Medicago truncatula: one gene and its partner. The protein of the gene in region 2 interacts with the protein of the main gene of each other region in a pairwise test. Links are inferred from orthologs where the notes say so. Each region holds a gene or a part of one and is shown on either strand. Other genes may lie near its edges.

Region 1 (7,492 bases), on a different chromosome or scaffold from region 2:
CTGTTTCACTGGATTGCCTTTCCGTTTTGTAAATGGGGCGATTGTAATGAGTTAAAATACGCAAAATTTCACCACATGCAAGAGCCCATTGTTCTGAATATTCATTCTGCAAAACCATGAAAAGAAGGAATTAAATGATAGAGAGTCTCTTTGTTAATACTGAAACTGAATAAGTGCTATAAGTAATTGGTTAATAAACAGAGAAACAGAAAGCAAAAATATTATATTTCACAAACAAAGGATTTATTGATATGAAATTGAATTATATACAAAGTAAATAAGAATACCGGGCAAGGATTATATTTATACCTCATCTTTTGGGCAGACTAAAGATATCAAAGAAGCAAATGGAGGACTAGTCTTATCATAGACTAGTGTACCATCGATAATACACGAAATAATAGGAAGTACAACTGCATGCCCATGCTCTGGATGATGAAGGACAAATGTTGCTGGATGTACAAGTAAATACATAGAGAAGTTAGCACACATAAAGTAGAAAGAGTGATATTCTTGTCGACTCAAGCATGATTTAAACTAACATGGGATTAAGCATAAATACCCAAAACGTCATCAAAGAGAATAATTTCCTTCGACGGGTAACGGTTGCGGATCAACTGTCAAAGTAATACAGAACAGTGAGTGACATTCAATAAAAACTCTTGGATCTCTCATGTCAAAAACAACACCACAAAAAATAAGAATCACAATTTTAATAAGTAAATAGAAGTGTACCTCAGCAATATCGTCAGCAAACTGTTCTGATGTAAACTGAATCAAGTACTCAACATATGCAGCAATTTGATCCTGGGAAAAGCAGAAAACAACATCATATAAACCAATGAAATGGAGTTACAGTGAGCTTCCAATATTCTAGAAGCCATAAAATGCTTTCATATGGAATAAGAAACAATTATTTTCAGCATAACAAATGATCAAAACACTGCTGCTTTCTACCTAGCAAGATACATTTAGAAAAGATTGTCAATACGCGGGAAACTTGTGTGAAACCACATTGACAAAACACTGCGGCTCAGTCAGAATTAGCTCTAACTAGTGGAAGCATCAGCTGAGATAAGTAATTGACTCTTAACTTATAAAAAAAGTCCTTATAAGTTTATGACTGCTTATGGAGAAGTTATATGCAGCGTGTTTTGAAAAGGTTAAGGTGCAAAAGTTAATTTCAACTTATGCAAGAAACTATTATTTAGAAAATTCATAATTGATTGTAAGATTACTTCAACTTTTCTTTTCTTGTAAATGTTTGCTAAAACTGTAATCAAATTGGCCCCACAAAGTCAATGCTTATATCACCCCATTTCTGGGACACTTTGTTTTACTTCAAAGTTTGCAATTGCCATAACTAGAAAGTTACAAAACAAATTATTCCTGCTGTCGATAGATCTCAGTTGTTCAATGAAGATCAGACAGTTCATATCCTGTGTTGTATTTTAAATCCAATTTGATAAAATCAAAATATGTATTTGTCTGATCTTCATCCAACGCCAAGACCTGCTGATTGTAGCATATGCATAGATTCTGAAATATCACATCACATCATCATGTATTATTTACATATGTTTGTGTGACGTTGTATGTATATGTCTCTTTAACAACATCTCCATATCTGCTACTCCTCTTGAAGAATACCGATATAAAATTTTCAATTCCCTAGTACTCTAAAAGATTTTTTTGGAATAAACTCTAAAAGATTTTTATCAAACATTGGATCATTAAACAAAATAGAGTGAGTTTAAAAACGATACACTAACTATAAAAATGTTTTAGTGTTTACACATACATCCAATCGTATCTCATCATTAGATATTTGTGAAGATATTTTATGAAGTAATATAACAAAGCGATATTTTGTGAAAATATGATTAGATGCATATTTAAAACTTTTTCTAATCTTCAAACTCAACAAAATAATAATAATTAGGATCCTTCCATCCCATCATGTCCTTAAGGCAAACTTTATATTAAAACTCATAAAAATTTAATAAAAAAATACATATACATGAAAAAAGTAAAGAAAATAACTTTCCTAAAACATGGTAAGAGATTAAAATGATACCTTTTTTTGCTGAACATCTTGTGGGGGAGGCCAGAATAATGAAGAAAATTGAAGACGGTCAATCCACCTTTCACTTGTAGCAGCCATAGAAGAAGAAGTCATCAAAAACTTTCAACTCTTGAATCCTTTAGCTTCTGATTATATATGAAAAGCAATTTTATCCCAAATCCATCCAAAACATGATACCAATCAAGTATTAAATCCTGTGTTACCAAACTCATCTTAGTATCCAATTCATCATCATCCACCAAAAAATAATAATTCAAATTTTTTTCATTTGACAGAATAAGACAAACAAATGCATCTCATAGAAAATTGTAGCTATTTCACTACAATAACTACTAGGTTGCTATGTTGAGATTGAATCTGCAAACTTTAAAACAAAATTGTTATTGATTTCTAAATTTATTTTCACTGTGAAAAATGTTAATTTAAAAAATTGAAATGATGAAGATAGGGATGAATCTGAAACAGAGTCCTGGTAAACAGAGCAAAATGAAATTTACAGAATATAAAAAAGTAAATATGTAAGCTAAATATTTAAAGGCTTATAAATAAAAAAAGAATTAAGAAAATAAATATATATCTAACAAGTCAGATTCATAATAGAAATTTTTTGAAGAAATTAAAGTAAAAAATTTGATGAAACTGAAATAAGAAATTAGCACATAACCTGAAAACTGATGGTTTAATTGTGTTAAAAAAAATAGAAAGAAAAATATGTACCTGGGTTAGCTTAGCTGAGCTGTGTGTAGAGCTAATTGGAAATTTTCTGAATTGATAGGATGAGAAGATGTAAGTGTGAGAATGGAGAGTATTGTGTAATGATCAAAAGGAGGAAAGAAATGATAGAAAGAGGGTTGTGGTAAGTTTATAGTTTGGAAATGAAGATGTTAGATAGATAGATAGAATAGAAGAAGAATACAACAAGTGGAGAGAGAAGATCTTTAACAGCCTTGTAATGAGAAGCCTAGATCGACTGCATACGTGGATGCGATATTTTCCTCTCCTCTCAGACATCCACGCCATCTCATGTGCTATATCTATGTATGTATCATTCATGCATGCATGCATGCCCTGTCCCAACCATATTAAGTAACATCACTATATTTTACTATCAGACTTTCATATTTATATTACTTCTTATTGAATTTATATCTACTACATAGAATTGAAATTCAGATAAATATTTAACGTTTGCAAATTTACATAAACGATATTATCATTTGCCACGTGTGCTTAGTTCAATTGATATGCAAGGTTCGGGGTTTAAATCCCGGCCACCACCAAAAAAACAATATTATCATTTTTTTACAATTTAATATATTATCATTTTTTGAAGGAAAAAAAAATATATTATCATATCAGCAAATAAATTTACTTTATTATAATTATGGTATGATATGATTATACATTTAAATAATATATATTTATTTTTTTGCACAAATTTAAATAATATTTATATTACATGGTGTTTTTACATTTTAAAAAATATTAAAAATTGATAGGAAAAAAATAAATATATATATATATATATATATATATATATATATATATATATATATATATATATATATATATTTGTTATGTTACCTTCCTTTAAAAGAATGTTATGTTACCTTCCTTATACTCTATGTGTATTGGGGATGATTGATGTTTAAAGTCGTTATTTTAATTTTTTTACTTAAATGTATCTTTTTTAAAATTTCTCTCCTCCATCTCATTTTGGAATCAATTTTGCTGATGTGCCTTATTCATTAATGATGAGGCACCAGTTGTCTGGTCGCATTGAATTTCCATATCATTAATAATTTTATTTATTCATTAACTTTTATTTTAAAAATATTTTTATTATTCAAATATAATATTAAATTAAAATAACAATAAAATAAATTATGCCCTAATTCATGTTACTTCTCCCAATTTAAAAATGAAACTGTTGTCGATCGTTGCGTTCTTTCTTTCTTATTCGTCTTCAATCATTCTTCATGAATTTTTATTTGTTTAGGGATCAAGATCATTGAACCGTTGAACTCATTGTCTCATTTGGCGTAAGTTTGATATCAAAGAGAGTATGTCAGAATCACGGTGATCCATCATAATTTTGTAGAAGCTACATTATGTAGTTTTTGAAAAATCACGGTGGGTTCCCGTTATTCTGACATTTCCATTGTGATACTAATTTACCAAATATAGGCTTGGTACTTTTTTTTTTTTACAAGATCTCTCCATGCAATGACGAGTCGCTCCACATTTTCAAAGAAAGTGTTGAGCCTATGTAGATTGGCAACTTGTTGTTTTTGTTTAACACAAGCTTGAGGCTCGAGTGGAGCTTTAGTAGAGACTATGTGATACTAGGAAAATATATATAAGTCATGAAGTGGGAAGATTTTTTTTTAGAGAATGAAGTGGGAAATTTTGTGTTAGCCGTAATCCAATTTGCATTTACAATTTTTTTTTTTTTTTGAAGGAATTTGCATTTACAATTGGCATCACCTTAAGGTTGCACACTAAATGGCGCCCATCTGGACATTACACAATACCCTATTCATGTTCAAATACTTTGTTCTTGCCACAACCAAATTTCAATCTCCCTCTTGTTTCACCATTAATGCCATTCATTTCCATCAAAATATAATACTATCTACAATATCCATTGGAACCTACAACAAAGCTAGTTCTCTTGCACACCACAAGCAAAACCAACAAACACTCCCACTGTCTGCACTCAAGCATAAGCCTCATTCAAGAAGACCTTGTAGTTTCTTTTCAGTGTTATTGTCCCGTGTAAGCCTTTTCTAACCTGTCGTCTGATTACCTTTTCAAATATAAATTGCAATTAAACATAGTGAAAATTTGTGTATCTTTTTTTGTAAAAAAAAACTGTGCAAATTTTGAACTTGCTCTTGGCACTTTAATTGCAGTTTTGGTCCCCTCTTTTTATTGTTTTGCGAAATTGGTCCCACTATTTTAAAATTGGACAATTTTGATCCTGTATCAATTTTTTTGTCTAAAATATTGTGATATGATATGTTTTAAATAAAGTTTTTAAGGGAATTTTGTTGCAATTTATGGATGTTGATCTTTTTTCATCTTCAGATCATATTCCACGATATTTAAAATTTATCAGATCATATTTTTATAGTTCAAAAATATAATGGATGGACCAAAACTGTCAAATTTTAAAATAGGAGGACTTATTCTATAAAATAATAAAAATAGGAGGACTAAAATTGCAATTAACCCTAATATTTTTAAACAACTTGTGAGCATTTCCCTTTTAATATTGGGTGTTGTTCAAAAAGTTGAAATAATTGGAGCGAGACAGCAGCCAATAAAATATAAAGTTCTTGGCGTTAGTGGGTTGGCTTTGCCTCGGTGTGTAGTGGTGTCAACTGTGTGCTAGATTTCTTCAAAAAAATTAAAAAACTGTGTGCTAGATATTTGTGTCTGGGTCTTTTTTTTTCCTTTTTCTAATCAGTAGTGTCTTGTACAAGTAACTCCAAAAATCAATCTCAATTTCAATAAACTTATAAAAGACAACAAATCTCCCTTAAAAAAAGACAACAGAGCTCTTCTCAAGAGTTTTAGTGGTGTTGCATTTCTTGAACATGCAATCTCTGGTTAAACCTGAATCATTTCATTCAAAGGTTCTTAGATATTTTTGTCCTCAAATATAAGAATATTCTTTTAAGTTTTAGAAAATTTATAAGACTTGTTTAAATAGACATTTATATTTTCAAACTGAACGATTTCTTAGAGAGGACTTTCAACCGAATTTTCTTGTAAGAAAAAAAGTCTATTGGTATATTTGTTTTTTTATTTCAGTACTCATTGGTATTTTTATTATGTGGAATAAGACTATCTATAAGAGGCTTAATCACAAAAGGACAATATATAAGAGAGGAATAATGAAATGAATGCATAATTTAATCAGGATAGATCTCAAGGCCCGTAAAATATTACTTACATATCACCCACAAAAGATGTAGTTGACAATTTAATCAACTCTAACCATCTTTTCCATGAACAACCTTAACCATCTTTTTTTTTTCTTCGAGATAAACAACCCTAATATCGCCGTGATAGTGTCACAACACAATTATCACTTGTAATAACCAAGTGATTCAGTGGAAAATTTTATGTTCAAATTTTAATTAAAATATTTTTTTTTTCAGATTTTACTTAGGAGTTGGTTGAACTCCAAATAAACATGACACATTCTCCCAATAAATCATAGTGTAAAACAAACCAAAAAAATATCATAACTCCTTAATCTTAAACGTGTTTACTCCACATGAAAGTGATATAGGTGAATCCCACTATCCCAACATTTCAAAAGGTCAACCTAAACTAATTTACAATGTTGTATAGGAACCCATTAATGTTCAGCAAACCTTTCATGATCATCCTTTCGGAGGGCACTAAGCCACCATTAAGGGCTGACTGGTCATGTATGGTAAACATAGTTTGTCTTGCTATTACCATATTTAGCAAATGCTAATAGGTTCTTGCTTTTTAGTTGACTTAAGTTTTATTGGCCACTCTTGCCTTTTTTTTTTTCAAAAATTAAATATCACAAGACAAGAACATTCAAGCATTCAATAAAATTTGTTCAAAGTGGAGAAACATATTGATTTAGTAATGGCTAGTGCAATTTATAGTTTAAAATTAAACACGTTAGTCAGTGTTGATTGATTGAAAGATACCACCACTAATTAGTGCTCTACTTGACGGGTTGATTCTTCTTTCTTTAAAGCAGCTTTAATTTATTTAACATATAAAATAACATAATTTTGTATTAGTTAAGTCAAACTTTTTCAACAGAAGAAGTAGGGGAAAATGGAAATGGTTTTCTAGTAGCGGTTTTCTTCTTTATTCACACAAGGCATGCTTAAGACTAAAATATATAAAAAGACATGATACTTTAAAACTAAAATTTTGATGTTAAATATGATTCATTTGATTTTATTTGTACTTTTAAAATGCATCTAAGTTGGAGAAAATAGAAAGTAAAAGAGATATAAAGATTATGCAAATATATATATATATATATATGATCAACTTTATATGTATTTTGATTTTCAACATTAGACGATGTATGAATCGAATCATGATCTTTTATGAAACAAAATTCATTGATGATTTTTTTTTAGAGGAACTCATCGATGATTTTAAAATGTTTCCAAATCATTTTCAATGTATAGTCTAAGGTTCTAAATGCAATCATAATATATTCCCACCCTTGTGAATGTTCCAATTAATTTAATACAGATTCTCCTAGTCTCATGCAATTGTGAACCTTAAGATCAGTGCATATTTGAACAAACCATTTGAATTATACTACGTTTACTAACTAAGCCATTCTAAGATGTATGTTTGACAATCATAAAAATTAATCTGGTTATTTGGAAA
Region 2 (7,360 bases):
TGAAATAAAATGTATATGAAAGAATGCTACTTACTAACACACATACACAAGTGAATTTAACTTTAACTTAGCATCAGCAATGTGTTTGGAAAGCCAAACATTTTTTTAGAGAATTTTGAAAACTTCCAAATTTCAGCGGGGAAACATATTGAAAAGATCAAGAAAAAAATCCTAGAAAGAATAAGATGAAGAACACTCCCTAAGCTGACTTTATATACTAGTAATGTCTTAACTAAATCCATAGAAACTATCATCCAAATACATTCCTTATAAAGAACACTCCCTAAGCTGACTTTATATACTAGTAATGTCTAACTAAACCAGTAAGAGAAAAAGACTGTTTTCAAAAGTGACTCCACCGGTGTACCCAAAGCTTAAGCAAATGTATGATTGGTTGCTATGAAATCTTTTTCTATTAAATATTAGGGTTAATAGGTCTTTACCCCCCCTGTAATATAGGTCATTTCTGGTTTTCACCCCTGTAAAAGTTTTATTTTGATTCACCCCCCTGTAAAATATTTTTGTTTTGATTTACCCCCTAATAGGCTAAACAAAAACAAATTTTATTTTTTTTTTCAAGAAATTTTCGTTTTTGTTTGGCCTATTAGGGGGGTAAATCAAAACAAAAATATTTTACAAGGGGGTGAATCAAAATAAAAACTTTACAGGGGGAAAACCGGAAATGACCTATATTACAGGGGGTAAAGACCTATTAACCCTAAATATTATAGGTTCAGCACATCCACCATATTGTGCAATGACTACCAAAATAGGCTGTAGAAACAGCAACATAAGTGTTGTACGGAAATTAACTCCGACTATCAATACCATATTTCAGCTGAAACCTGATGAGTTTAAATTTAACTGTAAGTAGATTGAATGATCTTTAAATCAACCACGAATGAACCGCAGAGCGAGTTTTTTAAGGCACAATTTGTTACCCATGATGATTCACAAATCCAAACTAATTTCAGGCCTTATTTCACTAAATGCAGTTAACAGATATGACACGTTAAGAATACGAGGTCAGACCTTATGTTTGTGGACATCATCAAAAACATGAGCTTGACCTCCATAAAAGATAGTCATCTGGCGGCTGGCAGCTGTTAGCCCATGTTGACTACTGCTCAATGCCAAAATGCATAAAGTCAATCAACTTCTTTTTCCAAGGTAAAGGGAGTGAAAATAAATAGAAACAAGGTGAATTGAGCAACTGTATATATAAGATAAATTTACCTTGGGGGCGTGGATGATTCAATTATGTTAGTTAGAGGTTTTGGTCTGCTTCCACCGAGCAGCACTACAGATGAGATTTTATCAGTAGCAGTAGAAGCTGTGTTTATGGAACTTAAAATTCCAGGGCCTTTGATTCCAGTTCTAGATCCTTCATCAGCGGCAGGCTGAGAGATAAATGAAGGGCCGACAATGGTATCCCTAAGCTTGTTTGAAGCTAGTTGGTGTGCAAAAGGAGTCAACTGTCCTCCACGCGGAGGATGCTGCATGGAAGGGCCAGCATTCATGAGAATAGACCGTTCCCATTTATTCGCATCGATCTTCGTGTTGGCGGGAGCATGAAATATCTGAGAACTAGAAGATGGCTTCATTGACTGCATACCAAGTAACACTTCGTCATCATTAGGCCTTCTGGATCTCTCTCCCCCAGATGCATTTCGGAGGACCTGTACGAAGACAGGACTTAAGACATCAAAGAAAATAATATAAAAGCAAAAGTGTTTTTTTTTTTTTGGCTATTGAATATATTAGAGGAAAAGAATTAAGTGATATTTTAAAGTAACCTTCATCAAATGTGAGTTTTGAAAGGAATCAGGGACCATTTGAAAGGCATCTCTGGAGGAACCCATAAATGAGGAATCAGAATTACTTCTTTTATTCCCCACTAGTCTGTTACTTATCTCAGTGCCAGAAAAATCACTTCTTGGGCCATAGAATGGAACTCCCTCAAGATGATTCGATACCTGCTTTTCTACCAAATTGATGAGGGAAAAAACATTACATTCCTTTTAAAGATAACATAGAAACTTACTATAAACAATGTGTGTTTACAATTATAACTCTTTCCAGAATAAGAAACCAAAAAAAGAAAAATCAGACCAACACAAAAGCAAAAATTTTGATAAAACCTAAAAATTCATATCATTGTACTTCCCAATGCACAAACATTCACATGACATAACAAAGTTTTCAGTTCAAAATAATAGTATTTTCAGTATAAAATGATTAAATTCAATTCTCTGAGTCTAAATTATTTCATGGAAACAAATAATCAAATCATACACCATACTCTAAAGCAAAATAAAGTCCAGAAAATCATGACCATAAATTTGCATACGAAGGGGAAAACAATCAACTCCAACTAACTTGAAACAACCCAAATCCAAAGACACAAAAAAAAAATGAGGGAATAAATTGATACCCCACCAAAAGAGAAAAAAATGGAAAGTAAAGAAGTTTAGTGGATGAGAATAAACTCGGTAAAAAAAATGAAACAAGGGGGAAATGTGGCTAAAAATGAAAAGTTTAGTTGTTTAATAGTACTTACCAGAAGCGGTTTCGGAGGTGGAGGAGAAAGGGCCACGAGCACCGGCGGAGGAGGCAGATGCTGATGCCTCCGGTAACCTAACGTCGATGGAAGTATCAGTTGGCTTCATGCCGAGAAAATCATGGAGGAAGTGTTGGGTCCCACTGATGTTGTTGTTGTTGTTGTTTTGAGACTGTGAGTGTGAGTGAACCATTCTCAGAACCGCCATTGATTACCCATCTCACTCTGCTGCATAGCTGTGAAGTACGCTAGAGAGAGAGAGAGAGGAATGAATCAATCGTTTTCGGTGAAAAAGCAAAAGGTTCTTTCTTTGTGTTGTTAGAAAATGTAGTTGTGGAGTTTTCTGTTGTTGGTTGATTTTAATGGATGCATGTTTGTCTTTTTTGTACAAAACTTCTCTTGTATCATTCTCACACTCTCTTCGTGTCTCTAACGTTTGTTTCAGTTGAGCTGTAATCAATTCAATTCGGGACCTTTTGTCAGTTTTTCTTCTTACTTTTTTACTTTCAGACCCCTCCTTGTAAAATATCAGCTTAAAAAATAATTTAGTTTGTACTGTGCTACTTTTTTTGCACTATAGTAAATGACTACTTCATTTAAGGGTTAATGGTGTTTTACCCCATTAACCCTTCATTTAAATTTCATTGAAGTTGGAATCATCACACTAGCTTTTTTTTTTTTTTTTTTTTTTAGAAAACTTCATATGAGAAGAAAATATAAATGCAATCAAAAACTCTTGATTAAACGCATCATTAACAACAATCTTTGAGTATGAGAAGAAGATTACTTGATTTAAACTATACCGAACATTACACAATGATATAGGGTGCTAGTCCTTCGTAGATATTGTCTAGTTTAGTCATCAAAGCTTCAACGTGTTAAAAAAATGATTTTTTTTTAAGTGTGGACGACATTTTTTTTTTGAACAAGGCAAGATGAAATTTATATGAGAAATGATATTTTAACATCCATTTTTTAACAACTTTTGTGACAACTCTCTCTCATACTCTTATTGTACTTTTATTCTCTCTCTTCATTTTTCTCTCTCTATTGTTATTGTCCAATGAAAAGAGAGGAAAAAATTGTCACTAAAAGTTGTTGGAAATTGGTTGTCAAAATATCATTCCTCAATTTATATTAAAGGATAAAAGATTAAGGAAGAGCAACAAAGTTCAAACGCAACAATTCACCGGTAAGAGGAAGTAAAGTAAAAATATCTTATCAACGCTCAAACAATTTAAAGGTCGTTGCTACCACCCATATAACTCAATAGAAACAGTTACAACATTTTTCTTCAACCACCGCATCGATAAATATGGCCTTGTCCACCAAGCGAGGCATATATTTTGGGGGTCAAAACTGCCAAAGATCCAATACATAGGGGGCTGTTTTGTATTTTAATTAGTTAGGGGGCTAAAATCGTAACTTTTGAAAAGATAGAGGGCCAAAAGCGCAATTAAACCTAAAAAATAAACTCAAGTTTTTTCAAACGATTCTTTCTATTGAGAACTCGCTAACTATTTCATGCTAAACACTTTAGTTTCTCGTTTGATGCTAAAACAACTTTAATTATATTGTGTTTAATTTTAAAATTGTTCTAGAGATATAGTAAACTAGAGGTCCGACTAACGGAAATTTGTATTCATCACTACACCATAACACTTTTTTTAAGTACAAGTTTTAAAAGACAAAAATAATCTTTTGTTTATCAAACATCATATAAAATAAAAAATTGTTTGATATATTAAAAGTTTACCGTGTGTTGTTATATCTTATGTTGTGTAAGTATTGTTATGTCTATTATGAAAAATACTTATTTTTTAATAGATCAAAACATCGTGTGTCTAAGATACTCTCTATCACACCCTTCATCATTTCCCTATGTTATATACTGAAGATTTATCTCAATCTTTTATAATAAAAAAAAATGATTATGTAAATAACTATCCTTATGACATTTGTAAAATAAACAAAAAGTAGGAGACTTACATTTGATTCAACGATATTTTAACTTTTAAAACATAAAATCCATCATTTTTCACAATCTCTCAATGCAATATTTATGTTTTTATCCTTTTAACCAGTGTCCTAAATTCCCTAAAAAAAACTAGTGCCCTAAATTCCTTTTAACATTTCCAAAAAAAAAAAATTATGTAAAACTTAAATAAAACAAAAAATAAATACTGTTCAGAAGTTAAAGTTAAGAACAACCATTATTTTAAAAGTTGTCAACAAACAAAAACCACTACCATATCTTAGACTAATAATCCATCCATTTCAAACTGAGTCTAATTTTAGCTAAAAAGATGTTTTAAAATGAATGTCGCTTTTAGTTTTCAATGTACTATTAATTACTTTTTCTCAATAATACCCCTTAATTATTACTACGCACACACTATTTCCAAAGTACCACATTTTACTTTAATTTATAATGATGGGAAATGCACCAATAGTCAATAAGACTATTTTAGTAAAAATGTCAAATCTATAGACAAGACTATTGCATTTCCTAAAACGACATTCATTTCGAAACCGACATAGTATTACAAATGAGGAGGATCACATTAATCTCGTAATTATCTTGTTGTTTTCATGTTAAATTAAACAAGAGATTACCCTAAACTAAGAATATAAATACTCCTTCGTGTAAGAAGTTAAGAAGAGGAATAAAGAAAGAGACACAAGGGAGGGACCACAACAACAACAGCTTCAGCGATACAGGTTGTTCTCTCTCTCTCTCTCTCTCTCTCTCTCTCTCTCTAACGTTATCTTTGTGTTCTACAGTGTTATCCCCAATTCTTAAACCCTAACCCTAACCCTAATTTCATTCATTGTAATTGGGCCTTTTCTTTTTAGCGCACTCCTTAATCAATTCATCGTTTTTCAATGTCGGTATTGTTATCATTTGATCATAATAACTTCAATCTTGTTCTTAATTTCCGTTTTCATTAATCGATTTAATTCACATTCTCAACCTGAATGAATTAACAAATAAATGTGGGTTCTTAATAAACGAATTCTTGATAAATTTTGACAAATTTAACTGTGAGCTTGTTTAAAGTTATGATAATCATGTTTTCCCTCTTTATGGTGCGTCAAGAACATTGTTGGAATTTTCTCTAACTGATATTTGTGTATTATTTTTTGTGGCTTCAGAATGTGAATTGTTTCTGATAAGCTGAAAAGATGCTTGCGAAGGGTTCTGAACTTGGTGGGAATATTTGGAGAGAATTGCCAAGAAATTCTTCATCAGTTGTCTCAAACACTCCGCAAAAGAGATGTTTTGATAAATTATGCAGTCAACATGTAAGTAATCCAGCAGGATTCTCCACAGACTGGCGTTATCATCCTGAAATGGCATACAACCGTCACTGGATAAGAAAAAGAATGTAAGTGAAAGTGATTTAATTTTCATAGAAACGTGGTTGCTTCAGTTTGCTTCAACTTAAGATTGCAATTGAATTGAGACTATGCTAACTATAAATTTTATTCAGTTTTGAAATCATTCAGAATGAGCAATTTGCCCCTATGCTGGAATTATTGCTACTTACCACTGCTGCTTCAAAGGTTTGTTTCTTGAAATGTTGTGTCTGAACATAAAGTGCTTTTTTTTGCTAACAACATTTGCATATAATAGTATAAAATGCAAACTATACCTGTATTCTGTCAATTAAGCACAGTTGTTTTTCTACGAATTTGGCAGGAGGAATATATGAACCTAGAGACGTTGAATCAGCGTATGCAAGCTCTAGTGGGTCTTTCCAAGTCTGATGCCGCTGGTTATTATGACGTTCCAGAAGGGAGACTATCTGACCCTTTTATTGTTCATGGCCTGCCTTGCGTTCCTGATGATGGTTCGCCAACCCCCCTACTTGCTGATATGTGTGTGCTTCCTAACTTACCCGTTTTGTATGGTGGAAGCAATCTGGATGCTAACACCAGATCAAGTAGCAACTATTTTCCTCTGAAACACGCAAATAATGGTATGTTTAAATTAGATTGTGATTTCTCCCCAATTTTTAATCCTTATTCGTGCAATATTGATTTCATCTTTGCATATTACTGACTTTGTGCTTCTTTCTTTGCTAGAATTATTTTTGTTTTTAACAAATGCATTGCTTTACCCATTTAATTTGCTACTTTTGCAGTGGAGATGAATCTGTCAAAACAGAGAGATTGTTTGGGGTTTATCCAAAATAACGAGTCTACGAGTTTTCCTACTTCAATGGGAAAGTCCATTCAATTTGAAGATTTACATTCGACATTCCCTAAACTTGTTTCAGCGGATATTTCGGAACAATCCAATCTTTCTCCTGGCACGAGTTCGTGCTTAGAACTGGAAGATACAAGGCGAAATAAATCCCAGGAGTTGGATTTTCAGAACAGTTTCACTCATGCCATGTTACAACCTACGAAAAGACAGAAAATGACAGAGTTTGCTTTTGACGTCTCTTGGGTTAATGATGCAAGTTCTGATCAATCGACTTACGAGATGGCTCAATCTTGTTCTTTTGAAACACTTTCAGAAGTGCAGCAACAGTTAGAGACTATCGAGTCTGGAATGATTCCCTCAAAAGGCTTAGAGTCTGGCATGATATACAGCAGAAACTCAATGGAAATCAACAGTAGGCCTACTCTCAGGAAGGAGCTTAAAGATATTGATGACGATGAAGAGGACATACAAGGCAGAACTGGATTCATCCAGGAGGGGGTAAATGCTAAAAAAGAACTTATTATTGTTCATGTGGGTGAAGAGGACATTCAAGGCAGAACTGGATTCATCCAGGATGGGATAAACGA

What was found. The genes of interacting proteins can lie anywhere in the genome.
Region 1: the proteins of protein TIFY 8 (region 2) and protein GIGANTEA interact in binary tests that used the Arabidopsis thaliana proteins (3 or more experiments, as listed by UniProt). The link is inferred for Medicago truncatula from reciprocal best matches to the Arabidopsis thaliana genes TIFY8 and GI.

The regions. Positions count from the first base shown.
Region 1 is NC_053042.1:47,807,779-47,815,270, reverse strand, and holds the start of protein GIGANTEA, read right to left. Parts: upstream 3,003-7,492; 5' UTR 2,804-3,002; intron 2,281-2,803; 5' UTR 2,180-2,280; coding exon 2,078-2,179; intron 810-2,077; coding exon of another isoform or gene 808-809; coding exon 736-807; intron 618-735; coding exon 563-617; exon of another isoform or gene 543-562; intron 453-542; coding exon 310-452; intron 107-309; coding exon 1-106. UniProt on the Arabidopsis thaliana protein: Involved in regulation of circadian rhythm and photoperiodic flowering. May play a role in maintenance of circadian amplitude and period length. Is involved in phytochrome B signaling. Stabilizes ADO3 and the circadian photoreceptor ADO1/ZTL.
Region 2 is NC_053044.1:53,327,378-53,334,737, forward strand, and holds the start of protein TIFY 8, read right to left. Parts: upstream 3,027-7,360; 5' UTR 2,769-3,026; coding exon 2,561-2,768; intron 1,985-2,560; coding exon 1,797-1,984; intron 1,680-1,796; coding exon 1,237-1,679; intron 1,124-1,236; coding exon 1,033-1,123; intron 1-1,032. Other genes in the region: histone acetyltransferase HAC12, read left to right, coding at 5,747-5,949, 6,055-6,127, 6,264-6,543, 6,709-7,360. UniProt on the Arabidopsis thaliana protein: Repressor of jasmonate responses.